Solanum lycopersicum: one gene and its partners. The protein of the gene in region 2 interacts with the protein of the main gene of each other region in a pairwise test. Links are inferred from orthologs where the notes say so. Each region holds a gene or a part of one and is shown on either strand. Other genes may lie near its edges.

What was found.
Region 1: the proteins of BL3 (region 2) and ethylene-responsive transcription factor 12 interact in binary tests that used the Arabidopsis thaliana proteins (3 or more experiments, as listed by UniProt). The link is inferred for Solanum lycopersicum from reciprocal best matches to the Arabidopsis thaliana genes BEL1 and ERF12.
Region 3: the proteins of BL3 (region 2) and T6 interact in binary tests that used the Arabidopsis thaliana proteins (3 or more experiments, as listed by UniProt). The link is inferred for Solanum lycopersicum from reciprocal best matches to the Arabidopsis thaliana genes BEL1 and STM.

Annotation. Positions count from the first base shown.
Region 1 is NC_090801.1:58,879,500-58,888,841, forward strand, and holds ethylene-responsive transcription factor 12, read right to left. Parts: upstream 5,685-9,342; 5' UTR 5,435-5,684; coding exon 4,970-5,434; 3' UTR 4,741-4,969; downstream 1-4,740.
Region 2 is NC_090807.1:66,654,372-66,665,078, reverse strand, and holds BL3 (bell-like homeodomain protein 3), read right to left. Parts: upstream 6,344-10,707; coding exon 5,534-6,343; intron 5,179-5,533; coding exon 4,787-5,178; intron 4,118-4,786; coding exon 4,057-4,117; intron 3,659-4,056; coding exon 3,047-3,658; downstream 1-3,046. UniProt on the Arabidopsis thaliana protein: Plays a major role in ovule patterning and in determination of integument identity via its interaction with MADS-box factors. Formation of complex with AG-SEP dimers negatively regulates the carpel identity process and favors the maintenance of ovule identity.
Region 3 is NC_090801.1:61,367,796-61,378,773, reverse strand, and holds T6 (homeobox protein knotted-1-like LET6), read right to left. Parts: upstream 6,589-10,978; 5' UTR 6,290-6,588; coding exon 5,939-6,289; intron 5,697-5,938; coding exon 5,432-5,696; intron 2,699-5,431; coding exon of another isoform or gene 2,693-2,698; coding exon 2,448-2,692; intron 2,029-2,447; coding exon 1,825-2,028; 3' UTR 1,642-1,824; downstream 1-1,641. UniProt on the Arabidopsis thaliana protein: Required for shoot apical meristem (SAM) formation during embryogenesis. Negatively regulates ASYMMETRIC LEAVES1 (AS1) and ASYMMETRIC LEAVES2 (AS2 or LBD6). Probably binds to the DNA sequence 5'-TGAC-3'. Binds to RNA.

The DNA of each region.
Region 1 (9,342 bases), on a different chromosome or scaffold from region 2:
ATCAAGTTTCTGTAATTTTTTGAAAAAATAAGGAGATTCAATTTGATAACAAAAGCATCTAAATTAATGTATCCGTCCACACAATTACGTCGAAAGGTATAAACAATAAGAACTTTTGTAATTGAAGCAAGAGTAGAAATAAAATATAATTTTATCTATTACACTATGTAATTTGCATAATTATTACTTAAAAAATCTATTTACTATATTGAAAAATCAATACTCCATCGTTGGAGTATACTCTACTTGTCATCTGCACCAAATTTAAAAGTGAATTAGTAGATTCTATGAATTTTAATTTTGAAGATTCAATTAAAATAATTCAGGATAATATCATAAATGAAGACTCAATTGATATAATCCAATAGAAAACTTTTTAGTCATTTTTGTGAAGATTTTAGATTCAAATGTTTATTTGCAACAGAATTTTTTTTTTAGTGAATTTAAGAGTGCATATTGAATTTTGTATTAGAAATGATGAAAAAGGGGATTAGTTAGTATCCAAAATCAGTTATAATATTTAATTATTATAAAAATTAATTTAATAATAATTAATTAGAATAAAAGTAGAAAATAATATTTAATTTATATCCTAATCAGGTAAATATTTGCGTATTTTCACCCTAAATACACCTTCAGTTAAATTTTAAGGACCCTTTGACTCATAAAAATTATTTACTTTTTTCACGAATAGTGTTTCACTTAATTAAGAAGATTTAATCAAATATGAAATTGAATTTCAAAAAACAACTAACAACTTTACTTGTTGATTATGTTATCATAATTTCAAATTAAATATTTTTTCTCTTATTTACAAAATATAATAAAGACAATTATATTTAAAATTTTCGTAAATATCACTAGTGATATGAGCTAATTACTTAGATATACTCTTATTTATAATATTACATATCTTACTCGATTTTGGTGCATTCAAATACGTCCAGATTTATGTATATTAGGACACATGAGTCAAAATTAGGCGTAATATGTTCTAGTTAAATAGTATACAAGTAGATTCTCATATATTTGAGATACATGTTTGTCTCTATCCATCACGATCGCTACTTTTTTATGTATCTAGTATCCGAGATACACGAGCATAACAACCTATACAAACATATACATGTATCTTGTATGTATCCAGTGTGATTATGCATGTATCCGGGGCTATGTAACGAATCTCGCTTATTTTTCTCTTTATTTTAGTGTATCTAGCATAATTCACATGTATCTAGAATACATTACGAAGTTTGCTTGCCTCCATCATCCATTTCGTTCACCAGCTTTCTTTCGTTTCGCTCATCTTTCTTTTTGTTTTTGGTGTATCTAATAGTTAAAGTACATATAATTAAGTATATATTTGTTAATATATTTATAAGATACATAACCATTTATATAGTAATTATATATATAGCAGTGAAGTATGTTTAATTAGAAAATGTTTTTTCTTAATCATCAAATGATTTCTTGAGTTGGACCTCCTTATCAAATTGGGTCCATAAATCACAATAGTGCCTTTTGAATTTGGTGGCCACACGACTGAGTCTAAATTTATAATTTAGTATTATCGAAAATAAAAAAGAACCGAAAATCACACCGGACAACAAGAAAAGAAAAAAAAATAGGGTTAAAAAGAAGTAAACGGCGCCGTGAAGACGGAAATAATGATTAAAGAGGCGCGTGGGTCCCACCAGACGCCTTCACAGTAACGTTTATATTCATTTTGCTCATGCACCTAATTAACGAGCGGAAAATATAACTCGATAGAGTCGTAAATATTCTTTTGAATTTTATGAATATAAAATTTTTTATTTTTATAAAAAAAGTAATTATAATATAAATTTAAACTTATCAAATTACAATTAAAATAGTAAATAGATTGACAACAAATCTGCCTGCTATACTGCTCCAGACGCTTTATTAGGTACCTATATCCATTTTTCCTATAATATTTCTTAAATTATTAAAAAAAAAGTAGAAACTTGCGTGTTGTACTTTTTGTTTTCTGAAATTTTGTTTAGTCTGTCTGCAGTACTACTGCTGGAAATTCACTGTTCAATGCGTCATCTGGTTTTGCTTTTTCTCACTTCCCATACGTGTTATTTTCTCAGTTTTATTGTGTAACTGCCAAAATACATATATTCGAATATATAAATTTAAATTTTCAAAACATACCAAACAATCAAATTTCGGTCATAATTCTATTTTATTTTTTTATTTACTTCATTCAGTCAAAAGAAGTTTCAAATATAACTTGAAAATTTATTTATATGTCCACCCTACTTTCAATTGGTTCTCTGCATGAAATATTACGTAATGTTCTTTCTATTCCTGTTTCTTATTTATTTATGTAGAGCCCACCACGTTGGTTGTTTAAAAAAAATGTAAGCTTTTGGTGATAACACGAAAATTATTTCATTTTTGTAAAGTTTCCTAATTTTCTATATAATCTATGACTTGGTCTAGTATTGCTGCGAGCTTTAATTTTTACTTGAAATGGAGATTTTTTTATTATTTTTGACCAATTCAACATACAATGATTGTCACAATTTTGTAGCATTAATTTAGAAAAGTTAAATAATTTTAAATATGGAACAGTAAAATGTTTGACTAAACTATGATGACAAGCCGCCCCATTAATTATACCTTATAATATTATACACCTAAACTGTCATTGTCATTAACTTTAATTATCACACTAAAACAGTTAGTATAATCATTTAATTATTGCCATTTATCAGCTGCATGCATGCTACCGGCAATATTTTCTTGGTATTAAAAGATTTCTGCTTTTTTTTGGATATTTTATTGACAAACATTACAGGTTTTTTTTATATTATAATGTTTGTGCTTATTCATTACTCCATTTGGTTAAAGAACTTATCCATCCTTTTAGGTAAATTAGTATAAATTTTATTTTTATACATGGATAATTTGTCGAAGTGAACTTCAAAAGACTGGACCCACCAATACCAACAGATACTTTAAAAAAAATTAAATATTGTTAAAATAAATCAAGCTTTAATAAGACAATTCACTACACTATTTTTATATGTCTGTCTTAAGCTTTTCTTTATTTTCATATTATATAATAGCCCCACGTACACCCCATTTCATAAAGCCAAAAAAAAGACCTCATCCATTAATAACCCCAATTTCTGGGGATTAATTTGTTGGTCCCCCCTCCCCTCGAAAACAAAAAATCAGATTCCTCTATACTATAATCTATTTTATGACTTATTTTATAACCTTACTATTTTTTCCTGGTACGTTCTCTCAATATAATGGACCCCTTAGCAAGAAATACGAGACAAATATATATTAAATGGTGTACATACTATTTAGTTATATTTTGTTATAAATAAGTTAGTATTCTTTCTTCGCAGTTTCATTCTGTCGTACAGTGAAATTTATTATTAATTGAAGTCGATTAGAATAATTGTAAGTTTTAATTTTTCCATTACAAAATCAACATGGACGTTGGATACAAAACGAAGTTTTGAGTTTCAACTTCTTAGTTCTAATATGTTAAGAAATAATGGCAAAGCCGAAATTTATATTAAGAAGGTTAAAATATTAAAAAATTAAACACTTTAAAAAGTTTGAATGGATCCCCTTACTTTCATATGGCTCTGCGAATAAAAGAATTCATCAATCTTCTAAGACTAAAGCGTTGAATTTTTACAAAAATGTAAAGTGGTATCGAAGAATTAGTTGCTGGTGTCCATTGAATTGAACTTATTATCAAATAAATTCATAAATTTAGTTTATTTCTTAAAAAATTCAAAAGTGGCACCGAAAGTTTTTTTTTTTTTTGGGCCAAAAATAAAGTTCGAGCTCTAATAGTAGTTACACTGATTTTCACCAAAATATACTTAAAAGTTTGCCTTTTGTTGATTGGATTTTGTACCCCATCCACTTTTTATCCATTAAAACCAATTTCTGTCAATCATCCACCATATTAAAATCTATTTAGCACTTCATGTCTTGGATAATTAATAAACTAATTAAGTTAATCTCTTACCAAAACGTACTCATCACAATCAAAATGGATCCCATTCGAAAGTAAATGTAATTAGATGAATAAAATTATAACTTATACATTAATGGGAAGTAGAGAAAAAATCTAAGCATGTATGCTTATCAGCCTGCTATAGTTAATATTGAAAGTAGATTTAGGTCAAAAATAATTATTTTTGCTGAGTAAATTTGTACTATTTAGGGACAATCCTTTGATACTATGTAAGATTTTTCAACCTAAGTTAGTTATTATTATAATAATAATAATAATAAGTCACTTTCTGCGTTTACCCTTTTTCTATACATAACTGGCCTAATTAATTGTAATGCTCTTTCATGCGCCACCTGAAAAGGTGAAATTAAATATCATGTCTCAAAAATCTACCACATCTCAATTGAACAACAAACAAATAAAGTTAATTTAATATGTCAAACATGTACGTATATTTTCACACGTGCAATCATATCGCACAGGTGCGAATCTAGAATGGATCGTGAATGTTAGTAAATAATTTACAAAATTTAATAATTTATGAAAATTCATCTCGATTTATATTCACACAAAAAAAATTTGAATAATATATATATAGGAACACAATTGTTGCGCAAATGTACGTTTTGGACGTATACATTAATTTACTGTATAAAATGTTTTTTTTAAAAAAAAATTAGACTAAAAAGTACAGACAAAGTACTTCAGTTTTATGATGAGCGTGGTACAAAAATATGGAGAATTTGGATTAATATTTAAATAAAAAGGGTATTTACATAATGATGTGCTTCCTCCTAATAATAACATTAATATATTTTCTTCTTTTTTTTCTACTTTTCTTCATAGAAATTACCTTTCTCCCAAAAGCTTGAAAATAGAGAGAATGACAAAAATGAAAAAAAAAAAACAAAAAACGTAATTTTACTAAGTCATTAATTATCCGCCGCCGCCTCCTCACATCCACAACGGCGGCGGTTCGTTCAAGTCAATAGGCAACCCACGTCTCACAATCCCAAAATACATAGCTGCAGCTCCAACATCGTTTTCCTTCGCCGGCGCAGCGACGGTGACCGGCAAGTTAAGTTCCGGCGGCGGACCTACTTGTAGAAACTCTCCAATCATGAGCCTACGTCCGGAGGGGGAAGTCCACCGGTGATCAGATGGAAGGTTGAGATCGAGTGTAAGAGGAGCGGAAGAAGGCTGCGGCGGCGGCGGCGGAGGAGGGGGGAAGTTTGTTTTTGCTTTAGCGCCGCGGAGTGAACGGGCGGCGCCGTCGTAAGCGAGTGCCGCTTCTTCTGGAGTGTCGAAAGTGCCTAACCAGACACGTGTTTTCTTCCACGGGTCGCGAATCTCTGCGGCGTAACGGCCCCAGGGACGCTTTCTCACTCCTCTGTAGTGACCCTCACGAGTGGAAGCCATGGAAATGGGGGAGGAGAGAGAGAGGGGGGGATTTAGAGAGAGAAAGTGTATGAGTGTTGTGTTTGTGTGGGGTTTTGGGAGCTAAAAAAGAGTATATTTGGGCAGCAGTAGTAAAAATAAAAAAGGGACCCACGCAGACACCCGTAATCGTCGGTTGGACGGCACGACCTCTCTCCTAAAATAGGCAAAATATTTAGGTGAACATGTGTTTGGTCGGAAGGAAAATGTTCCGAAATTATAAACAGGCTCTTAAAAAATGAACGAATACTTTTATCATTTCATGGTACTGTATTTTAATACTTATTTTTGGAGAATCGGTTAGTAAGTTACATAAAAATAATGTTAAATAAAATATAGTAATAATGTCTATATTAATTATATATAAAGAGAGATTTTTTTCTTATGCGTTTGATTTGATCTATTAAAAATAACATGTATAATACAAAAAATATTTATTTATAAAAATATTCTGCACTATTATACTAAAAAGCTATAAAAAGAATTTTGAAGGATAGTAGGGTCTTTACTCATACTAATACATATGTTAAATCATTAGCATTAATTGTTGTAGTAAGTTACAAATTTAGGGGCGAATAAAAATTAATTTTACTTAGCAAAACTTAAATAAATAAGAAAAATCATATATAGTAGGGGTATTATTTCGAAAGAGAAAAAAACTAGGTAGCATGGTATACGCCATTGTTTTGACATATCAAACTAAAAATAGGTGAAGTAATAGTTAAACATATGCGATTTCAATAAATTATTTTGCAAATAAACAATTATATATCTTATATTTTACAAATTCTATAGTCATGCTATAGATGGAATGATAAATATAGACTTTTGGTAATGGTAAGTCGGTCCTAAAAAGAGAAAATTTTCTTTCTCTCTTGTTTCTAAATTGCTTCCATGAGAAGCTACAAACTTCGATGAAGTAGTAGTATTTCTTTGATAAGATATACACTCCTGATTTTTCACAAAGGCAGGTGACAACTTTTAAGGAAAATTTACAAAGATATTGTATTTAAGACTATGATTTATAATATAAAATCATATTACATAAACATAATTATTTAATTTGATTTTAGTAAATACTTATGTCCTTCAACGTTGAATATGCACAAATAGATATTTAAATTTGTATAAAATAAAATAAGTAGATACAAATGTTTACATGGCACAATACATCTAGAACGTCATGTAGGACAATAAATTGCCATGTAAAGTATTATGTAGAACAAATGTGTTCATTTGCTTAATTTTATATAAATTTAAGTGTTTACTTGTGCACACCCAAAATTAAATGTCATAGTTTTCAACCGAGTCAAGTTAAGATTCATGTTTATGTATTATGTCTATATAAAATATAACTTTTCTTATTTACAAAATAAATCTTTTAATTAAAAATATGATAATTTAAATTAATAAATATTTTTTAATTTTATTTTTGGTTTTTAAGTCACTAGTGAAGTCGTTTGAAGAATTTGCAAGTTTGTTCTAATTATGGTGGATTCAATTAATCTTTCATTTCCACCCACGTTTCTAAAAAATCTCTTTCTTAGTATTGATAAAGATTAAGAAATAGCCTAAAGTCAAAATACAACAGGGGATAATATTTTTTAAAATCCAACTTTTAGCCTATAGTTTAATTCCACTGATGATAAATTGACGAACGTATAATTTACTTGCATCAAAATCACGTGGGTTGATTCGATTCTAGAAAAAATTATGTCTACAATTGAAGTTACTATTGAAACTAACATATTTTGAAGACAGAAACTATTTTAGCGGAGCAGCTGCACTTTATTTTTAAAAAATTAAAACATATTAATTGATACTTATTATAGTGTTTGACTAGGTATATTATTTGTTACATTTTACTAATTAAATTGCGTATTTTAAATCTTTTCATTTTTTTATATTAATAATTTTATCATTATTATTAATAATAATAATAATAATAGGCCAAATTGTTGGGTTTTCCCCCCTCAAATACCTCAATCACGTCATTTTCTTATTGAATCATTGAACCCATAATTTGTTCCGTTTAAACAAACACCGTTGTCTGATGTGGAACCAGATTTTTGAAGGATATTGATAGAGGGTACATATGTTGTTCCACGAATCATTAGTCTAATTGATGGTGAAAATATTTGAGAATAATTGTGTTTTACTTAAAAGTTATTTGAACACATTAGAAAACAGATGAGACTAGCATGATTTGTCTTCATTCCTTCAATCAAAATTATTACAATTCAAACACAATTAAAGACATTTACAATAGAAAAACTGATCAAAATTAATCAATATTGTTTTAAGAAAACAAATTATTAGTGTTTCAATAATTTAATTTAAAAATAGCGTAATTAAAATACATGAGAAAAAAATCCAAATAAATTTAAAAATAACAATATATTTTTAACCAATATTGTTTTAAAAAAACATAACAATATATTGAGTGAATTTAAAGTACACATAGATCGTATACCTGTACTTAGATACCTCGAAACTTATTTATTCACACGGTATAGTTAGTGGATATATCCAAAGTATGTGAAGCTGAAAGTGGGACAATTAAATCCACCAATTTGTCAAATTGTGGAGATACCTTTTTTTTTTTATATATATATATATATATTATGCTGATATATCGAAATAGCTTATAGTAGTACAATAATATATATTATTATATTATAATTATATAATAAAAAAACCCAGAATACATGAGTTTTATGTTATTTGTCGTATAAGTAGGTGGAGTGCATATATAAAATAAGATTAAAAAATAGAGAGGAAGAGAGGCGCCGGCTGATGGGACGTGTCAATCACATGAGTAGGGCGTGTTATTCTACTCTCGACTTATGTGCTAAATGCAGATTTTTATTTTTCGATTACAATTAAGCGAGAAACAATTTCATCATCGATGATATTACAATTGTATCTTTTGATAATAATAACAAAATTTAATATCATTTTTTGTTACTATTAAAATAATGTGATTATCTTTGAATGATTTGGGAACTTTATTAATTTGAAGTAATAATAATATTGTAACACGTGGATATTCTTACTTATCCTTTTTCCCATTTAGGGTCCTATTCTCTGTCTCTCTATGGTGGAGTCTTACATCAGCCCTATAGAGTCCCTACACCCTATTTAACCCTTCACTGTACGGCGCCTGTTCAGCGGCGCCTCCATCTTTTTTTTTTATATTTTTTCTTTCTTTAGATTTAATATTTTCAATTGTTTATTTATTGCATCATTTTCAATAGGCTGACACACATATATATATTTTTATACACTGGAATATCCCTTGTCGTTATATGTGTATAATAATGAAGGCCCCCCTACCCTACCCACCCCTCTACTAACAATTTAGTACAAATCAGCCATCGAAGTAGATGTGATTATTTTTCTTTTAGTTAAAAAATTGTGTGTTAGAAATATTTTTTTAAAGCTTTATCTGATACGAATTTAAATAGATAAATTTTTCTTACATATGCTAATTAGCAAGTGCGAACTAAAAATAAAATGAAATTTAATTTAATGTGATAATAAATTTATTGTTGCGTAAAACTTGTCTAGTAAGATACTTGTATTATTCGCTAGCTATGGTAGGGAGATCAGATTTTATATTTGGTGCATCGCCGAAAAGATTACAATTGCGATTTTTCGAGGGTTCCAGAATTATTATTATTATTATATTATTTGTGCGTATAAAGCTACTGATATGTTCTGTTGAAAAAATAAAAACTATACTGCATATTGTATTGTTATCTGAAAAGGCTATTAATGGTTCACAGACTCACCTCCCATGACACGGCATTAACACAAATAATTAACTATACTGTTCCCTCTGTCCTAATTATATGAGTTAATAGAAAAAAGAATTTTTTAAAAATAAG
Region 2 (10,707 bases):
AATACAAATCATCGTATACAAATACAAATCAAACGAAGAATTGTTAGTTGTGAATTATAAAAATGTGTGAATTATACAAACGTGGCTAATTATATAAAATAGGACCCAGGCCACTTACTTGATTAACTAATAATGTTAGTCGTGAGTGGTAATTATAACAAACTATAGCTATGATGACTAACCAAGTCCTATAAATTTGCTTAACCGCATAATTTTCTGAAAAACTTAATCATGAATAAAATTTATAGAATTTAGAAATTTTGATTTCTTATGATGCTCCTAAATTAATATATAATAATAATTGAGTTCATGATCACTTATTATAAATATTTAATGAAGGTGTATACAAATGTTAATCACGATCCTCATGTCAATCCATAAACTATATAGTGGCAACACATAAATTTAATTAAAAATTGTCAAAATATGAACAAAAAGAAGTCAACATATTTTATAAGTACACAAAATAAAGTTTTTAAGCTAGCTAAATAATGTAATATTTTGGAGGAGTGTCAATTGACACCCTTAACATAAAGGTGTTTACACAGTTTATATATGAAATAGTTTGACTAAATATAAAATTTAACGAAGAAATATTTTTAAAATATTTTGGACTTAGGTCTTAAATATACGAGCTTGTAGCTATAAAATCTTACTATTAGGAGTAAACTAGAAAAATTAAGTTAACTTACCAGAATATATTTTCAGTTTCTGAATAAGTTAATAGGTTTTATTATTGTTATTTCATTGCTGGAAATATTTGTTTGAAAACTTCACTTTAGGATTCTTATTCAAACTTGCATGTTTATATATCTTTTATTATAATTTTATACTCTTTTTGTCCTATACTTTTTCTTTTCACTTTTTTAAGTGTAAAATAAACTAAAAGGTTTCATCAAATTTGTAAATGTCTTGTGTCATATTGTTGAAAATGGAAAAAATTTACTTGTTGAAAATAGACCAAATTAACTTGTGTTTCATGCTAATTACGATTATGAAATATTTTAACAAAGTAATTTTTAATTTATCTATCATAAAAAATATCGATAACAATAATAAAAGGAGAAACTACCAAATAAACTACAGTGTCATCAAAAAATTGTCACTAATTCTTGTTTTTATAGTACAATTACCTCATGCAAGTCAATGTATATTTCAAAAAAATACTCCATTCGTTCAGTATTGTTTGTCATGGTTTTTATTTTTAGAGTCAAACTATAAAAACTTTGACTAACATTTTAAGATGTATTTTTTCATCATATTAATATGAAAAAATTGTAATTTATAGTACTTTTCATATAGTTTTAGAATATCTAATTTTTTTTGTTTCTAATATCAAATTAATGTGATCTAATTTATCTTTAAAAAAGTTAATCAAATTAACTTTCAATAAGCGCAACATGATAAATATTTCTGGCCGTATGTTTTTTATTTTAAAGAAAAAGATACCTAAAAATGGAAGTATCTAAAACAAACTATAGAAACAGAAAGAAAGCAATGAACATAATGTTTCTGAAAATAGAATATTTACATGTGCAGTCTAAACTCCAACTACCAGCCATTTACTATTTTATTTAATTCAGCTATGGACACAATATTTCACAAAAGAAGTAAATAAGATACCATAGAATATATGTAACTAATTAATTAAAAGGAAATTTTTTAGCCTGAACAAAAATACAGTAAGTAATTTCTTTCTATTTGTTATAAATCTAATATCTAGAAATTAGTCGAGGTATGCACGAAGCTAACTCAAACACTATGATTATCGAAAAAACAAAAAGAAAGAAATGATAAATAGAATTTTGTTGATATATAGTTTTGATTGATCAAACTCACATGCATGTCCTATAGTATAAGCAAGTTATATATATATTTCATTTAGCAATAAGCTCTAGCTATATTATAACATAAAACAATATATACTTATAAATTATTGAAAATTAACTAAAAATTACTATAATCTTAAGCTAACAATAAAGAGAAAAGACATTGATTAAGCTCTTTCAATTGATCAAAGTTCATGTTACGTATTGTTCGTTTTGGGCCATCAAATTAAAGCTTATGATTTGTCTTTTAAATATTACCGCGATAACATACGTCTTCATGTATCATGTGACATACTTTATAAAACTCTTCATTTTTTTCTATCGTGATAGCATTCGTCTAAGGTAACATGCACAACTTCTTACAAAAATCTCAAATCTAACATGTCCTTCTTTTAGATTTATCCTCTATCATTAGCGTCACACGAATAAAAGTATTTTTAATTTTCTAAGCACTTTTACGTAAAAGAATTCATGATAATTGGAAAAATGATTTTTTTTTTTTTGATATTATTCATGGACTATACGTGCAATTATGAAATAATTAATAATGCCTTTTTTTTCCAGTTTCTGTTGGATGGTCTTAATCTTGATAATTGAGAGGCTAACTAATTTTGCAGCTTAATTTAATTCTTCTTGTACCAATCCCAGAAAACAAAATTAAAATTGTTTTTTTCTCATTTGAGTTATTACAACCACACGTGATTCCATCACTTAAGTATCTCAAACACAAGAGAGGGAACAACAACAACAAATAATTTCACGAGTCGAATTTGAAAAAAGGTAAAACATACACATAACAGAAAGATTGTTTTCGATAGATAAGTATATATCAACTCAGATTAATACTAATTGTATTTTTTTTTTCAAATTGCAAAATATGAATATACTAATATTTGTTTCAATCACATGGCAATTATTTGGATGCATAACAAAATCACCAAAAACTATCACAAGAATTACCAACTATAGAAACAAAATTCATGTCATCATCACCCAAAATACCTAAAATGAAATTCCAAAATGTAGAATTTTCAATAATTGTATGATTCAAAATCACTTCATTTAATTATCTATATATACCCCATATATTGTTGCAACTACTAGCTATTACTACTTATAATATCCATCCACCTATCATGATATGATTCATCACCAATATATAATAAAATTAGAGTATATAATAAGGTCCAAAATGAAGAATATGATCACTTTTTTTTTTAACCAGCCAAATCATGAAGAAGTTGTGCTCCCATCAAGTTCCTATATGGCAAATTCTGATTTTCACTATCCAAAAGTGATGAATATTGAACTTGATCATGATCATCTCTTGGATAAAAAAGTGAACTTTGATGATTATGATTATGATGAGAGGGTTGTGATGAAAATGTAGTTAACCCCATTGATGATCCACCATGTTGTTGTAATCCCAATGTTAAAGAAACACCCCCACTTCCACCACCACCACCATGATGATGATGGTGATGATCACTACCATTAGTAGCATAAGCAATATTTGTTGAAAAATCTAGCTCAATCGCGCCAAACGATTGATCTCCACCTCTAATAACTCCATAGTTTTGATCATTTTTATCATGAGGGTGATGATTTATGATGGAAGATATGCATTCAGACTCAATTCTTACAAGATTTGGCTTTTGATCAATGTGTGATGATTGATGGTTATTAATTGTCATCTCATCAATTAGGGCTTTTGATCCATCTTGAGATCCAACATTTTCTTCTTCTTCTTCTTTTGTTTCTTCTAAGTACATTTCTTCCACCATTGGCTTCCATAGCCTTACCCTTGCATTAATGAACCAATTAGACACCTGCCCAACAAAAATACATTCAATCTTACGTGCATCACATCAAAGTTATATATACTGACAATATAAACAATTATACTATATGTACTAGTAAAGAGTATGAGTGGCGATAAAAATCTACATTACCAGATCACTTAAAAGATGACTATAAGTACAAACTGAACACAATCTTTTATAATATGTCAAAATGCTCATAATAATTCTGTCACTGTTAGTGCATATAACTTAAACTCTACATTTATATCAATGATGATAACTAGAAGTGTGTAGCATGATAAAAATGATAATTAACTGGTCGATAATGTAATTCTTTTTTATATTATCACTTTGTCAGTGCATATAACGTAAACTCGATGTTACACCTATATCATTAATATGTTATGGTGGAGAAAAGGACATGCCTGGCTTCTTGAAAGACCAGTTTGGCGAGCTAAAATGTGTTTATCAACATCACTTGGGTACCTGCAAGAATATATTTTCCATAAAGAAAGTAAATATAAATTGTACTTATACTATAGTTTATAATAACATATGTTGTACTTTCTATGTTATGTAACAAAATAAAATCAACAAAAATTCTATAGTCAGAGTAGTTATGATATATAGTATAGTTAAAACCGACAAAGGAAAAAGGAAAAGGAGTTACTGTAACAACAAATTGAGAGCAACTCCCAAAATATTTAGCTATTTTTGTGAACAATGATTGATGGCCCATAGAAAGATCCTTGGTACTACAACTACAAGTGGGGTTATATTATTTTCTTCTTTTTTAAAATAAAAAAATAATTTTTTTTTAATAATAATCTATCACTTAAAATAATAACGTTCAAATACATAATACACAATATTTATAATAACATATTCAGTGTAATACACAAGCAGAGTCTAGGAAGGATAGTATGTATACAATTTTACCACAACCTTATGATCAGGTAAGATACTATTATGATAAACTCTCGACTCAAGTAATAAAACAAATACAATACTTAGCAAGAGAACTAGACAAGTTCAAATGTATAATATAAAAAAAATATACATAATTTATATTTAACCAAAACAATATAGTGACATACCATAAGTTTTAAAAGGTAAGTTGAATTCATCAAATTTAAATTTTGAGATCGGACTTACGGGTGGAGAAAGTGTTCAAAGAGCCACGCGCGGAGGACGGAGACTGATCTTTCCGGGAGACCGCGTTGCGGTCTCCAAGGATGAGTCTCCATCATATTCATTTGTTGGAAAGCCTTTTGTTGCCTTAAAGTTTGATCAAGAAGTCTGAGTCTTGGTGTTTCACCTCTTGTTGAGCCAGGAATAAGAGTAGTAGTACTGTCCTTTTCTCCCATAGCCATTTTTGTGGCCTTAATTTGTGCCACAATACCATCTCTTAAACATCTAAAATGCCTTGACATAGCTCTTGATGCTAAGGCTGAGTAAACTGTTGCTGCTCCATTTCCAGCCACTGCTTCAAATGATGATACAACACCCTTCATTTGATCACAATAATGCTTGTACCTTCTATCCACCTACACATAATCCAAAAAAAATTGAATCTTTTTTGCCTAGTGAAGTATGAATAACAACAACAACATACGTAAAAAGTAGGGTCTGGAAAGGATAGAGTAGAGTACTGTATAGACCTTTACCTCGGGAGGCAGAGAGGTTGTTTCCGATAGTGTGATGAAAAAAGGAGAAAAGGGTTATAGAGAATTAATGGAATAGTGAAATTGTCACCATGTGGGCAATTAATGGAAAAGGGCATATTCAGCCTCAAAATTAGTTCACCAAGATTTTGAACAATTAAAAAAAGAACTTTTTTTCAACAATTTCATGTTAAAAAGAAAAAAGGATTGAAAGAATATATATATATATATGATATACCTCTTCAAGCATTTGAAGCAATTTTGTTTTTCTTTTTTGAAGTTCCAAAAGGTCAAGAGACTGTAAAAGTTGCTTTTTTGAAGTAGTAGCAGTAGTGTCATGTTGCTTTAGAAGTAGTTTTGAAGAAGAATGATCATTATTCTTCTTTATTCCAAGACTACAGAACTCACTGAGCAACTCCTGAGCTGGACCTAGATATTTGGAGTCCCTAACTTGATGATAATGATGAAAATACCCTTGTTGTATACTTGTAGATTTACCCAAAAATCCATCATGTATTAGTCCTTGTTGCAAATCTTGATGTCTAAGCTCAAAAGATTGTAAACCAATACTTGATGGATTTGATGAACAAAGAGATAATGAAAGTCCTTGACTTGGCCTTTCATTTCCTTCACAAGGGAAAACACATCTCATAGATGGATCATCAACAAGTAATGTCCTGTTATTATCATGATGCCATGAATCTTGATGACTAGTTGTTGTTGTTGCCAACATAGTTTCATGTTGATAAAATTGTTCACTAATGTTCTTAGAAGACGAAGGACCGTGATCATCATCATCATCATCAACAACAACACCATTGATCTTGTTAGGAAAATTACCTTTCCACAACACATGATGAGGATTATTGTTGTTTGGTGGAAACCCTATCATCATTTGATCCATACTAGAAGTAGTACTACTACTCAAATTGTACAAATCTGGATTTGTTTCAAAGTTTTGCAACTGATGATTCACAATATTGTTATGTGGTGTTGGATTTTGATTATTTGTATCTGATGAAAACCAATAACCAGTACTAGTAACCATTGATGATGATCTTGGTTTAATCTCTTCGCGAATAATACTTTCTTGATGATGACTAGCCATCTAGCTATATATACATATAAAGATCTCAGCTTTATAACTCTTTAAGTACTTTCATGATTCTGCAACAAACAAAAATCCCATCAAGATCTGCATATCTTTTATTAAAACAACCCAAAAATGGTAAAAAAACATCATAAGTAGAGTGAAGAACATCAAAAGGCAAAGATCAAGTGAACTAGAAATAATTTTTTTACCTTTTTTGAACAAAAAAGATTGAATTTTTACTTACTCAAGTGTTTGTACCAACATAGATGACTAGTTAAAAACTTCAAAGCAAGAAAACATAAGGTAAAAAATAAAACATCAAGTGAACTAAAAACTAAAAGGGGTTTTTACTTACCTTTTTTTAACCAAAAGATTGAATATTTCCACTAGTTAAAAACATCAAAACAAGAAAACAAAAGGTAAAGAATAGATCAAATGAACTAAAAACTTAAAGGGGTTTTTAGTTACTATCAAAGTTAACCTTTTTTCAACAAAAAGATTGAATTTTTACTCACTCAAATGCTTATATACCAACATAGATGACTAGTAAAACCTTCAAAACAAGAAAACAAAAGTTTTAAAAAATGATCAAATGAATTAGAAGTTATCTTTTCTCCAACAAAAAGATTGAATTTTTACACACCCAAATGCTTGTAGATTAGTTAAAACTTCAAAATAAGAGAACAAAAGGCAAAAAAAAAAAAAAAGAAAAAGAAGAAGATCAAATGAACTAAAAACTAAAAGGGTTTTTTAGTTACCATCCTTTATTAAACAAAAAGATTGAATTTTTACTCACTACCAACTTGTTTTTGCACATAAAACATCAAAACAAGAAAAGAAAAGGGAAGATCAAGAAATGAACCTTTTTTTTTCTCTGTGTTGTTTTTTTTCTCAAACAAAACAAGAAACATGGTGTACAATGAAAAAAAACATCCTTAGAAATTAGTGAGGATGATGAAAATCAGATGAAGGAGAAAACATTATGGATTTTCCAGAGGTTAAGGAGAGAGAGAGAGAGAGGCCTAAGGGGGTGTGTGATGATGACTTGTAAACCATGTTTTTTCATTGATATATGCTTTTTTGCTCTTACTTTCTCTCTCTCATGCAAAACAAGATAATCAATACGTACAAAATAGACTTCCTAGGAAGAAAATCAAATCAAATTAAAAAAAATACCCCTCTCCCTCTTCAATAATTAATCCTTAAATTAATTAAAATTGAATTCAATCAACGACAATAACATATTCGATATAATCCTATTAGTAGAGTCTAATGAAAATAATTTGTTCCCACCCCGTCTTCAATATATAATCTAAGTCATTATTCTAGTATTCCGACCGTTGGTGAAATATTTTTTTCTCGAGTCTAATAGTGTCTATCAGAAGCAACATTTCTACTTGTACCCTCATTTAGCTATACTATTGTTGTGGTAAGTTATACTAGTATTCTTTAATTGACACTTTTATTTTTTCAGTTTACTTCTAATAATACATTTTCTGTCTCAAAGTATGTGTCAATTTTTCATTTCAAGAGTAAAATTGACAAATTTTATAGCTTATAAAATTGGATTCGGTCAACTGATAAATACTATAAAAGTAACATTTAGATACACAGTACGAAAAACACTATAAATTACAATTCATCTCGTATCAATATAAATATATATATTTAAAACTATCGATCAAAATTCACATAGTTTAAATCTCGAAAAATTAAAAGATAGATAGGATCAAAGAGAATATTTCATATACACAAATATCATTTCATATTTAAAATCATATCAGTTATAACAAATATATTTTTCTTTTTCTTTTTTTAACTTCAAAATTTAGTCAAACATTTTCACATAAAATAATCTATATAAAATTCCAAGCTAGCTTTTTTTATTTCTCAAAGATATTAAAAAAAAAAGGTGATTTTGGAAGGTTGTAATATAGGACTATTCTGAGATATAATAATATTACAACTTTCCAAAATCCCATTTTTTAAATTTTTTTTGATTACTGTACTATATACTATATATATTATACTTCTATAATATAATAATAATCTTGAAACATCAAAAACTCATTATGTCATTATTGGTTAATTGTGTGTGTGTGTTTGGGGGGTGGGGGGTTTGTGTGAGTACCAAAAGAAAAAATTACAAATCCCTAGAACTGAAGCTAAGCTATAGTTTGTAACCAGGCTTTTTCAGATAGTGTTTTTTTTTCTTTTCTTTTTTCATTAGTCTGTTTCCTTCATTTTTTTGTGGGGCTATTACTATCTGATCAAAAATTCCAAAACTAGACCTTTTCAGAACAAGATTTTTGAGGGGGGTGGGGTGCAGGGGGGTATGTAAAAGACAGAAAAAGAGTAAGAAGAGTCAGCCTACTACTGGTTGGAATTAGATGCCATTAACATTGTGGCAGTGCAAAAATATTCCCAAAAACTATGGCCCTATTGTCATCATATGAGGTGGTCCTTTTTTCCAACTAATTCTAATTAAACACACCCCCACCCCCTACCCTACCCCTACCCCACCCCCCCTTATATTAAAGCCTTCCACCAATCTTTTTTCTCTATAATTTTTGGGACCATCATCTTTTTTTTCCTTCATATTTTCTCAATTTTCCATTGATTTTTTACAAAAAAAAGGACAATTGAGTGAGCAATTTGGTAACTCTAACTAGAGAAGTAGCTTAACATTGGACGGTTGATTACGTTAGGACAGATTCTATAGTATTTATGATTCTTGATGACTCAATAGGTCCTTATATATGAACAACATAACTTAATAATTACTTTTTTACGTGTTATAAACAAATAAATATAATGCGTAGAACTTGAAGCTCGATTTATATTGTACTTGTGAGTAAGTTTGTCACAACTTGTGGTGCTACTTATATGTTAAGTGTGTAAGATGTCAATGATAAAAAGTTAAATAAGAAGCTTCTCGTGAGATAGAGCTACTTGAACATCAATATTATTACACACAAATTTAAAAAAAAAAAAAAGAACTTGCAAGATATTTTTTCAAAAACATGTCAAAAAAGAATCTTAAATATTGGTAAAATTAGCTCTTCAAGTATTTTCAATGTGTGGACACTAGAGATATTTTTATAAAACAAAGAACATAAAGAAATCAAAACAAAAAAAGATTAAAAAGGCCAACATAAGACTAATAAAAGAGAGCCCTAAAAAAACAGTAACATTAATGTCTCTGTGTGATATCTATAGCCTATAGTTCATATGTTCGAGTTGTAAAATTAAATATTATTACTTATATTAATGTAAGTTGTCTATGTTATACTCTCTTGAGGTACACACTCTTGTTTTAAAACTTTATGTGAATATAAAAAGCTTTATACATCAAACTTTTTTATAAACTAAAGATTAATCGAATGTTTGAGCCAGAATAAACTATCTGCAAATATTGCACTCTCTTCAATTGCAACTCTTCACTAAAAAAATATTATTTTTCTATAGATATTTTCTGATAGCTCTTTTCATAAATACTTAGATTGATATATTTTGATAGCTATTTTCATAGATATTTAAATTGGATCAATGAAAAAAAAAATATTTCATAAAAAAAATTAGAAAGTTTATTGGTTATATAATATGGTTTATGAAAGTGGGGGCCAAATATTTTTTTTTTTTAAAAAAAGACAAAAATAATACTTGTTGAAAAAAATCACATGATGAATTTGGTTATATTTGGGTTAGCATTTTAGCTAGCTAAGAATCATACCCAGTGGGTATGTGCCCACGCTTAAATCACGTGCGTGGACCTCACTACTTTTTTATTCCTAACTTTAATTTTTGTCTTTTAAAGCCAAAGTGGTCCTCTTACGAAACTTTAACTTCTTCGTCCCCTGCTATTTCTTTCGTCTCATATTTATTATTTTTAGTTTGAATTATATTACAAAAATTAATTTTATTTATAAATATATCAAATAATTTGCATAGTAGTAGATTTAAAATTTTTGGAATTTAAAATTTTTGTATTGTGATTGGTCTTATTTAAAAATTTCATAATTTGAATTTGGATTATAGTTATTGAGTTTTGTTTAATTCGGAATGTATTTTTATAAAGTGATATTAGTGAGAGATAATTGTTTTTGTCTTATATAATATTTGGAAAATTATAAAAAGGAATTCGAAAAGGTGTTTGGCTTACAATCTGGTCCTTTTTTCAACTTGAAATAGAGAAAGTGAAGTTTGAAAAATTGGTTTTAATTAAAGTGTATTTCAAGTAAAATCATAATTTTCGCTCACAAAATTTTATTTTTTAAAAATAAAATTCATGTCTAAATATAAAAATGCCTTTTTTTATT
Region 3 (10,978 bases), on a different chromosome or scaffold from region 2:
GAAAAAATATATTTTTTAAGTTGAAAATATTTTTAAATAACAAACTTAATTAATTTTTTTTTGGAATTTGGGAGGGTGGGGGGACGTGTCGAGGGTAGGGATTAAAAATGAAATTTTGAAGTTAAAAAATATTTTTTAAAAAATAAACTTATTTTCCTAGGCGTACGGGGAGCTGGTACGAGGGTGGGTTGGAGGCTGATAGGGTGGTTGGGGGGACTGGTGAGGGGTGGGTATGAGGGAGGTTGGAAGAGAATTTTAAAAAATATTTTTTCTTAAATTTTGAAGGAAAGTCACTTTCCTTAAATTTAAGGAAAATGATGATTTTAAAAATATGTAATCCAATCAAATATGAAAAAATTTAAAAATAAATATTTTGCTTCATACCAAACACTCTTACTGTTTTGTATTTGTAACTTATTATTATAATAATAGAAATAATTATAACTTTATTATTATAAAAATAAAATAAAGTAAGTTATTACACCAAGGTGAGATTAAATTATGATGGCCTAAAGTCAATTACCCCAAAAAAGGCTACATACCCTGCAATGATTTCACTCATCTATTAATTGATTTATCTAATAAAGTAATAGAATACATTGCATATTCCTCCTTTTATTCTTTTGGAAAGAAAGAAAAGACAAAAATATAATGAAAATAATGCGCGATACAAATTTAATGAAAATTAAAATTAATAAACAAGTAAAATTCAACCCCTTACCTCCCCAAATAGGCTTCATTTCAAATATGGGTCGGGCTTTTCTTAGTTTCATCATATTATTATTTGGTTGGGTCTTTAATTATTGTAAAACGAATTTGTTAGATGATTGTCATTAAGATTGTGTAATGAATCGGAACAAATTGGTATCGGATCGGAATAGAACGAATTGATCGATTTGTTGATCGGTATCGGGATGAACCGGATTGAAATTATTGGGATGGATATTTGGTTCCGTCCGGTCTCACTATTTACCGGGATGAAATCAGAATGGATCGCAATGGAATGGGATGAACTGGACCGGAATGACTAAGTTTTTTTTGTCTTTCTCGGTTTATACCAATTCAAATTGTATATAATTTCTCTTTTTCTCGTTTTATACAATTCGATTCAATTGTATATATATAGCGAATTATACATATATATATTTGTTATAGAGTGCAATTATACAAACTTTGCTATAGCATAAAAATATGAATTTTGTGTTTGCTATATGTAAAAGTTGTCCTTGTTATTTTACATAAATGTAAATTTAAATTTGTTTAGAGTATATTTTGATGTTTAATTATGTATTGAATTGTAAAAATAAGAAGAACAATATTATTTTTATTGGCAAAAAAAAATATTGTATGACTCAAATTTAAACAAATTCTTACGTACATTTATGTATGGTATATTAAGTTTTGACTTGCAAAATAACATTGGATATTTTGTTTTTCTGATTGGACTTACAAATTTTACATGCACTTCAAGAAAAAAAAGTACTGAATATATCCCCAATTTATTTAGCTTTGTAAAGTCTACAATTTTAGTCAGAAATATCCAATGAAGAAATCAGTAAATGCCGCGCAAAGTACAATACAACAAGTGAATTATGGCTTTTGGACGCTGGCTCGCAGGCAGTATTCTCGAAAAGATAAAACTAGCAAGTACAAACTATTTAATTCTATAATTAAAGATGATAATAGAAAGATCTATTACAAGCACTTTATATATTTGGTCTAATAAAAAGTTGATTGTGTCACAATACCTTGTACTACTACATGCACACAAGTAATATGCAAATTAATTAAACATCCTTGATACTAATAATGACAAATCTTAATTCAGAGGAGAGAGGGTGTCATATCCATTGGGAAATGGTTAGCAAGAACATTATCCATATAGTAATGTGGATGAGCAGCATCCATCACAACAAACTGCATATCTTCTGATGGTTTCCAATGCCTCTTTCTTTGATTGATAAACCAGTTGTTTATTTGCTTCTGGTCCAATCCCGTTGATTCAGCTAGTGCAAGCTTCTGAGATTCCTGTAAACCAAGAATCGCGCAATGTAACTTGACCGCGTAAAATAACTATGCATTGTCATTATTGTATATAAGATGGACACACATCACAACCTTGTCTGATAAGGCAAGCGAAAAACAATATATGGTCTTACAATGAAGTGATCATCCTAGTAGAGTAGAATTAATATGTAGATATTGAGCTAAGGACTGATTTATTTAACAATTTAGAAAAGCAATACTTTTACTTTTCTAATTTAAGTGATATTAGCTTTAATTCAGAATGAAGACCAAGCGAAAACTTCGTGCACCCGTAACATTATGTTTTAAAATTTAAGAGTGTCATTCTTTTTGTATGGATTACTAAGGGACATAAGGTGAAATTAACAGAGTGTATAGAGTCAAGAAGTGAAGTTATTAATAGGAATGAAGGAGGATCATACCGATGGATATGGCCATTTAATATGTCTAAGCCACCAATCCACCAATTGTTGCCTTGCTTCCTTAGGCAGCTTGCCTTTCTTCCTCTTCTTCATGAACTCCTGCTTAAGGCTTCCCAAGTAACCGCTGTACTTACGCAACAATTGACCTTTGAGCTCTCTATCCTCAGCCTGGGGGTCGATGAAACTGTTATTCACGTCAACCTCTTCATCAGATGATCCATTTCTATCCATTGCCTCGCCCAAAGCTACACCTTTAAGACTTAAATTAGCATAACCATTCTCCAAGAAAAAAAGGAACAACTATAGTTGAGAATATAACTTGGCTTATAATAACATTATAGTAAAAATCACTAGCTACTAGGATACGAGATAAGCTTTGAGTATGAGTACTCAGCTGGTTCTCTTGGGACGTGATCAAAAGTTTGGCACGTTAGATTAGCCAACACTACAGGCTAACATAAATCATTTTGCTCTTAGGCATTTGGAAACTTCTCAGTAGTTTCTTACACAAGAAGAGTAACAAAAATATGCTAGAGTTAATACAATCAAAAACAACAAAGCGATTCATAACTCACACTAAATCTAGGCAGAGAATAAGAAGCTTATAAATTTTATGAGAAACTTAACTACCCCTATATACTTGAGAACTATCAAGAGTCGTTTGGTTGGGAACAAATTAGTATTCTGGGATAATTTATCCCACCATGGGTCTAATCACTATGGTGAATATAGTGAGATAAGTTATCCCAAGCATGACAACCAAAAAACAAAATTCTAATACCATCACTATTTTATTATCCCACGCTAATTATTTGTATCCTTCTCACCAAACGACCCGTTACTATTTACTACTTATCAAAAAATACACATGAGAGTAACTATCCATGTTGCAATTAAGTCCAAAAAAAGCCAATTTCTTCAGTTGTCTCGTAATTGCAAGCAGTTAAGCCCTCGCTTCTTTTAGACTCCTCAAGATTCAGTTTTTTAAATCAGTGGGTCCTTCAGAAACCCAACAGCTACTCAACAAATTTCGTCTTCTTTATCCCATTAAAGACTCCATTGAGTACCTATAGATTATTAACTTCACAAGTTTGCTATGTTTTGTCTATTATGTGAATAAAAAAGTCCAAGCAAAGAAACTTCCAAAGAAATTTAGCTGATTAAGGAAACACTTGTCAATAAGCATATGAACAAATATACAATTAGATCAAACTAAGCAAGCCGTATTCACCAAGATGAATCCTTTGAATTCCGAAATACATTCGACTAGATATTTGCACCCTAAAAAAAGGAAATAAACTCAAAAGAGTAATTAAAAAAAAAAGATGTATTGATGAAAAAACACCAACTACATAATCCAATGACTTAAACAAAAGTATAACACATCAAGTAGGTTATATGATACAATCCAATAAAAGCTCCAAATCTAATCAAGAGTATTTTATGGGTCTCACTAAAAGGAAGGTGCATTTCTCAATTTTGTCTTGTATCTTTCTATTCTTTTAAAGTGTCTAAAAGAGGGACCTCATGGAATTATGTCGAAAGATTGTAACTATTTGTGCGATACAGCTAATCGTTCAGCCGATCAAGGACTTCTTCACAGACCATATATGAAACTTAAGTGCTTGCTAAGATGGATTGGAGCTTTCCAAGTTAAACAAATACAGATTGAAATCCAAATACATACAAACTATTGCCATTAGATGGAAGTTCCTTTTTCAGTGTTTATTTAGCTTATACGGTGTAACATTTAAGCATTCGTAGTTATGAACCATTTCCAAGACAACCAACTAATTCAGCACATCTTTCCAAATACCTAATAGATTTAAAATCATCAAAAACACTACTACTTAGCAACAATAATAGTTATAGAGAGTGATTCCAGTAATATAAAGATTACTTGACGTTAATTTGTGGGGTTACCAATCAACACAATTAACGAGAGAAACATGGAATGAATAACCTTTTCCAAAACTCAAAAGTCTTATATTTTAAACAATCAAAGCATGAAACATAAACTCAACTAACTTTGAGAAACATAACACCCACACATAAATTGAATTCAAATGAAAGCTTATGTTGAAAAAGACTTGATCAAAAGAAAGATAATGTAATAATCTGCTCCTTACAACAACAAACTGGTGTATCCAACGTGCAAAATCACCTAAGACTGGTTGGTATATAGCTATCTCCGCCACCCCCTCCCTTTCTACCTCAGTATACTTACAAAAGACCCTCAACACAAGAGAATCAAAAAATTTACTTCATAGAGTGTCAGAAGTAAAACCAAAGTAATATAATTTTGAAATTCATATTCACCATCATAATATATGCAGCTTCAATACAGAAAACTAGGGTTAATACATTATTATATCTTGAGCTAGTCATCAATTAATCTGTGATTGGCACATGATAGAACAAACAAAACCTGCACATGAATAGTAGGGGAAAAAAGCTGGAACAAGAAAGACATATTTCCCAGGGTCATTCCAAATAAAGAACAAGACAAGTTGAGTTTATTCAGCATACACAAGCATCCAGTTTGAAATGATTAACAAGGGACAAATATATCTTGCTGTTTACACTTACAACTAGCACCACACAAATATTATGAACATGTAGAACAAGAACCAAAATAAGATAATTATTCTTTTTCTTTAATATAAATTCCAGGTAGTATCCCTGGCAGATGTATTTCATTGAATATTGAGACAGAAACAAAACTATTTTAAAAAATCATTGTGAAATACAAGAAGGTAGAGTAAATTGATAAAAAATTGAAAATAAATGGTCTGCATATGGAATTGAGCTTATTTTATTAGTACATAATAATTAATTAATGACTGATATCATTGGAAACATGCACATGCAGAGGACATTAATTTATAAAAGAATAAACTCAAGTAAACAGTTAGGATCTGAAAAGAATAAATGTCACCATTTTAAGAAATGAAGAAAAAAAATTTGATATATATATATCTCACCAGATTCATGAGAAGAATTAGGTGCAAGAGTTAAAGCTTTGAACTGACACTCAATTCTTGAAAGAAAAACCATGGCTTCCTTGAAGGGTTTTGAGAGTTCTTGTTCATATTTTGTCAGCATCTCACAATAAGCCTCCATGAACTGATCTAGTGCAGGATCTTCTCCAATGATTCCACCACCACTACTACTACTGCTACGGCCCATTGTTGCTGACGTGGCACATATTTCCTCTAGCCTTGCCACCACTTCTGGCGGAGCTCCTATCTGCAGTTGTTAAAAAGAAGAAAAAAAAACTAGGTTTTTTCAGCTACTGTCCCTTTCACACACATGATTTTGTTTTCAGGGTTTTTTATTGAATTGTTGCAGAGAGTCACTTTCAAGGTAGAAAAAATCATCAAAATTTCAAGAAATACTAAAACCCATGTTAAAAAATATAATCTTTGAATTGTTGAAAAAAAAATGAATTTTTTTTTGTTGGTGTTAATTGGGGGGGGGGTGAATTTCACCTTTTGACAATTGAGATAAGCAGTCAAGAGACGATGGTAGTGAGGATGAGCCATAATCTTTGACTTGATGGAAGAAGAAGAAGAGTTGTTGTCTTCTTGAGGATTATTGTTGTTGTTGTCCATGAAAGGAAGAAAAAGGATGTTGTTGCTGCTTGTTTCTGCATTGTTATTGTTAGTTAAAGAAGGAGGAGGAGGAGGCATCATCATCATCATTGGAGGAGCACAAATTGTTACATTTCCATTTCCATTTCCATTACCATTTCCATTGTTGTTGTTGTTGTTCTCATGATCTCCATATCCCATCATCATTAAACAAGATGTACTAGTATTTCCACTAGAACCACCCTCCATTATTCTCTCACACACTTTCTTCTTCACTCTAAATTTTGTTCCTTTCTATTTGTTTTTGCCTATGAAAACCATCTCTCTCTCTCACACACACTGAGAAAAAAAAAAGAAATGGAAAAAAACCTCTGTTTAACAGTAAATCTCTCTTCTCTTTTTTACGAGGGTGTGTGTGTGTAAGTGATCTCCCGAGTTTTATGCTTACTGATATCAGGCTTTTTCACAGCAAATCCTTAATGGAATACATAGTTAGCAATACTACTAGTCAGAAAAAAAAGCAAACACACAATATTCCTTTTTTCTTTTTCTAAAAAATAATTAGTAAAAAACAGTGTATTGTTCACTTTTCTTTTCTTTTTTTTTTCTCTCTATAGTGTTGTAGCAAGAAGCAAAGACTATGAAAAACATGAACATGTTAAAGGGTTAGCTTGTATTTGGGTGCAAAATTTTTACCTTCCCAATGAAAACTCATACCCCTTTTTTCTTCACTGCCACTGAAACACTGTCATTATCTGCCAATATCCCTCCTCTCCTAGTGAGAGAGAGATATACAGTTTAATTTTTATTTTTAGATTAGAATGATCAAATCGAGGTGCAGTGTAATTTCTTCTGTGTTTTTATGTGTTTCTTGGTTTTTGGGTTATTGGAAAACAGACAAGAGTGAGAGTTCCTTACCAATATTATAACTTGAGACCTATTTGTCCCTTAATTGAATATGATTCTTTTTGCTTTGCTTCTTCTTTCAACCACTAAATTAAACTTTATATCATTATTTTATATTAAAAATTAGATTAGCGTACACATTATATTATACTAGTAGTAAATTAACAAAAATACTACTTTTCAAGAATAAAACGTGAAGAAAACTTATCTTTTTTAGAGGGAGAGGGGAAAAAAATAGACGCACAACAAAGGTGTGAATTGTGATGTGAGTGGATATAGCAGTAGAAAATCTTGAGATTCACATCTTTAAGAGACTAAGCTCTATGGTAGGTCTGACCAAAATCGATCGGTAAGTAAATAGTTAAAAGATCAAATATATTAATATTTTGAGCAATTAGAAAGATTAAATCCTATAAATGAATAGTTAAGAAACTATTTAAACCCTACTCGAATAGTTAAGAAACCGTCAATGACATTTTCTCTAGATTTTGGAGGAAGAATTTTTAAAGAAATTACAAATTGTTTTTTGTTCATAAACTTTAATCAATTTTTGACAATTTACATAAATTTGGATGAAATTTCATTTCACTTATCCTATGTATTGTTTTAAATCCTACAAAAATATTTCACACACCATTCAAACTTCAAAAACTGATATTTTCAAATTTCCATCTTAATTTTATAAGCACTTTCAAAATAAATTACTTAGATTGCTAATCACCTAAAAAACATTAAAATCAGACAAAATCATAAGTTGGTCATGTTTAATGTATAAATTTTCATTTATAAATATTTTAAATTTGATAAAATATATTTTAATCAATTTGGAATAGATTAATTTCTTGACTTTTTATTTGCATCTTCGAGAAACTTTTATCCCAATTTTTTTTTTCTAATTTTCAAAATACTCTTTCCAAATTGTGATGCTAAATCTCTTCCATTCCATATATCTTCTGTCGTAATCTTTTGTGTATATGTTTTTTAGTATTTATAATTTTTTAAGTAATAATTTTAAGGATATTTTAATTATTTTAAGGGAAAATTTAATAGTTTTCTTTTTTTTAAAAAAAAAGTTCAGGTTAAAATTCTTGAATAAATGAAAAGGAAAAAAAAATCTAACGAGTTGTTTAGAATAAAAATATTTGAAGAAAGATTTACCCTATTGGGATAGGGAACTATTTATAACTTTATTGTCTTTTTCTTGTTCTAGTTATACATGAAAAATGAAATAAGAAATGATATTTGATGTATTTCATACTCCGATAGACAAATATATAATTTAGTTTCCTATTATTGACAAACAACACACTTCATTCACAGATATTCTGTTCATTTTATTTATATATATTTTTGGTGCCTTCAGTGCCATTATTATCTTATGGCATTTTCTTGGTTTGTGTAGATTACTATAACCCCCACCTATTTCCATTTCAATGAAAAAAATGTAACTTGGACACTTTGCCTCGCATTGTTTTTACTCACTTTAATGGAAAATGCTACGTACCCCACCCCAAAAGAATCTTCAACCCAATCTACATAACTAGTATTTAGTTTTTGAGGTCTTTAATTGAGGTTAAATAGAAAAATAATTATTTGTATCGAATATTTTCGTCTAATTATCACAATTTTCATTTGTAACTTCATGAAGTAAAATGAAAAATAAATTTTAACACATGACATGACATGCATATATTGAATTGATGTATAAACATCTTATGCGGATAAGTTTTATCCACACTAAATAGCTAGAACTTTTTGTCAGAATCTGATTTAGAAATTTAAAAAGTTATAAATATTTTTTATTTTAAAATTAACTAACTTTTTTCTATTTTTTATTAAAAATTATTAAAGTCAATGAACGAAAATATTTAAGAAGATAAATAACATACTTAAGATATTATTCGGGACAAATTTTCTAGGGAAGAGAATTTTTCCTTTAATTTAATACCCTATTCTGTACATTCAAAATTATTGGTAGTAAATAATAAATTTTATTGAGATATTCAAATTACAATTTATTCAAGGAGTATTTAAATACTTGATAAACTCTTTATACTAAATATATTTAATTTTCAACGAATTTTTAAGTGTTCATTACATATACAAATTAATCATTTTAAGTATGTCTTCTCATTTAGGACTCATTTGGCTATAGATTTCTCAAATAATATTTTGGGAAAAATTTGATAAATAATTTTATTTACAATTTGTCATTATTTAACAAATATTTCAAATTCTTAAATACTATTTTTTTCTAGTATTTGGACCAAATCTCATTATTTTGGGATCTTCTTAAAATTAAAATTTTACTCCAAACTTTTATCTTTAACAAAAACACCCTTTTATAGTAGTTGTTTGTGTTGTATTAAATAATTTTTTACGTAAACACCAAAGTAGTGATGCAATATTCAGTGAACATTAAATGATTATATGGTTGTTGATGAAAAATTGTTTCATGACTTATGGAATGATGTTTGTTGCATTCCCTCCAAACTATCACATTGCTCTAGTGTCATGGGCATTATTTGTTATTGTTGCAACGAATATCCAATTGACTTGTAATACAAACTTATAGTTAGTTTTGATAATTTTTAAAACTTATGGGTATAAAACATATTTTTCTAAAAATGTGAAATATATTTCCCAGATATTATGGTCAAACGCTAGCTTACTAATCTGTAAAATCTCATGCTTATACTTTGATTAATGCGCGTTTATAAAGACACCTAAATTTTAATTAAAATATGAGTTGAATATAACTATATATATATATATATATATATATATATAATTTTTAAAAATGGAAACTTTCGCATATAGCTACTGAAAAATAGTTTAATTATGCTCCACAACTATAAATTAATTAATTACAATTTCAGTTACATGTTATAGGAAGAAGAGTGGCTAGCGAGACTAAGGAGAGAGGCAAGCGAGATTGGGAGAAGGAGGAGAAAGACAAGCGTGAGAGAACAATAATTTGTATAATTCGCATCTGGTTTTTGTAATTTGCAGGTATGTTTGGATATATTGTATGTTTTTGTATAATTGAGTAATATAAAATCTGTAGTTATACAAATATAATAAAACTTGAAATAATGATTTGATACAAACAAAACACATATGAACTTTATACAATTATACAAAATATACTATACAAATGACATTATGTAGATCATATTATACAAAATTTGAAAACTACGTTTATAGAAATTTTAAAAAGTTATACACAAAAAGATTCAATGTATATGATGACAAAACTAAAAAATCAAATGAAATTATCGTCATATACAAATACAAATCATAACATACAAATACAAATCAAACAAAAAATTATTAATATCAAATTATACATATACGAACTCAAATTTAGCCTATACGATATAATATAATCAAATAATATAAGTTTATTTAACCGCGTAATTTTCATTGAAAAAATGACTTTATACTTACTATACAATCTTTTTGTGAAAAATGAAATAAACCTCCTCCCGACCCCTAAATCTGCCCCCGTCTATTTTCATCGCCAAGTGTTGAATCAATTGATATATTATTCTGGTAAATTGCTGACCAAAAAATAAAGTGAAGTACATCAAGTGAGACAGAATAACGAAACACTATTGAATTGAAGAATAATTTGTATCGAAATATAAAATAGAAAAGCACGAGTTGTCTCCAATTAAATTTACAAGTAAATGAAAAGGTGTCATCAGTCTTTCATCTATCCCATCTAAAGTCTCTAATTATTTCCTCTAAGAAAATTAAAGTGCAGTTCTAGCTTCAAAAAGCTGTTTATTTCGTGGGACACTACCAATGTCTCTTCTAACTTCTATTCCTCTCTCTAATTATTTTCTTTTCTACTACTCAATCACTCATCAACATTACTAATTAGCTTCTAATTAAGTTGGTACAGTTATTTGGATTTTCAATTTTTACAGTTTACTTTTATTTTGTCATGTTTCGTTTCAAAAACGAACAATCAAAATTATAGTTAATAGAATGACTTCATATTAATATGATAAAAAAAATAATTCT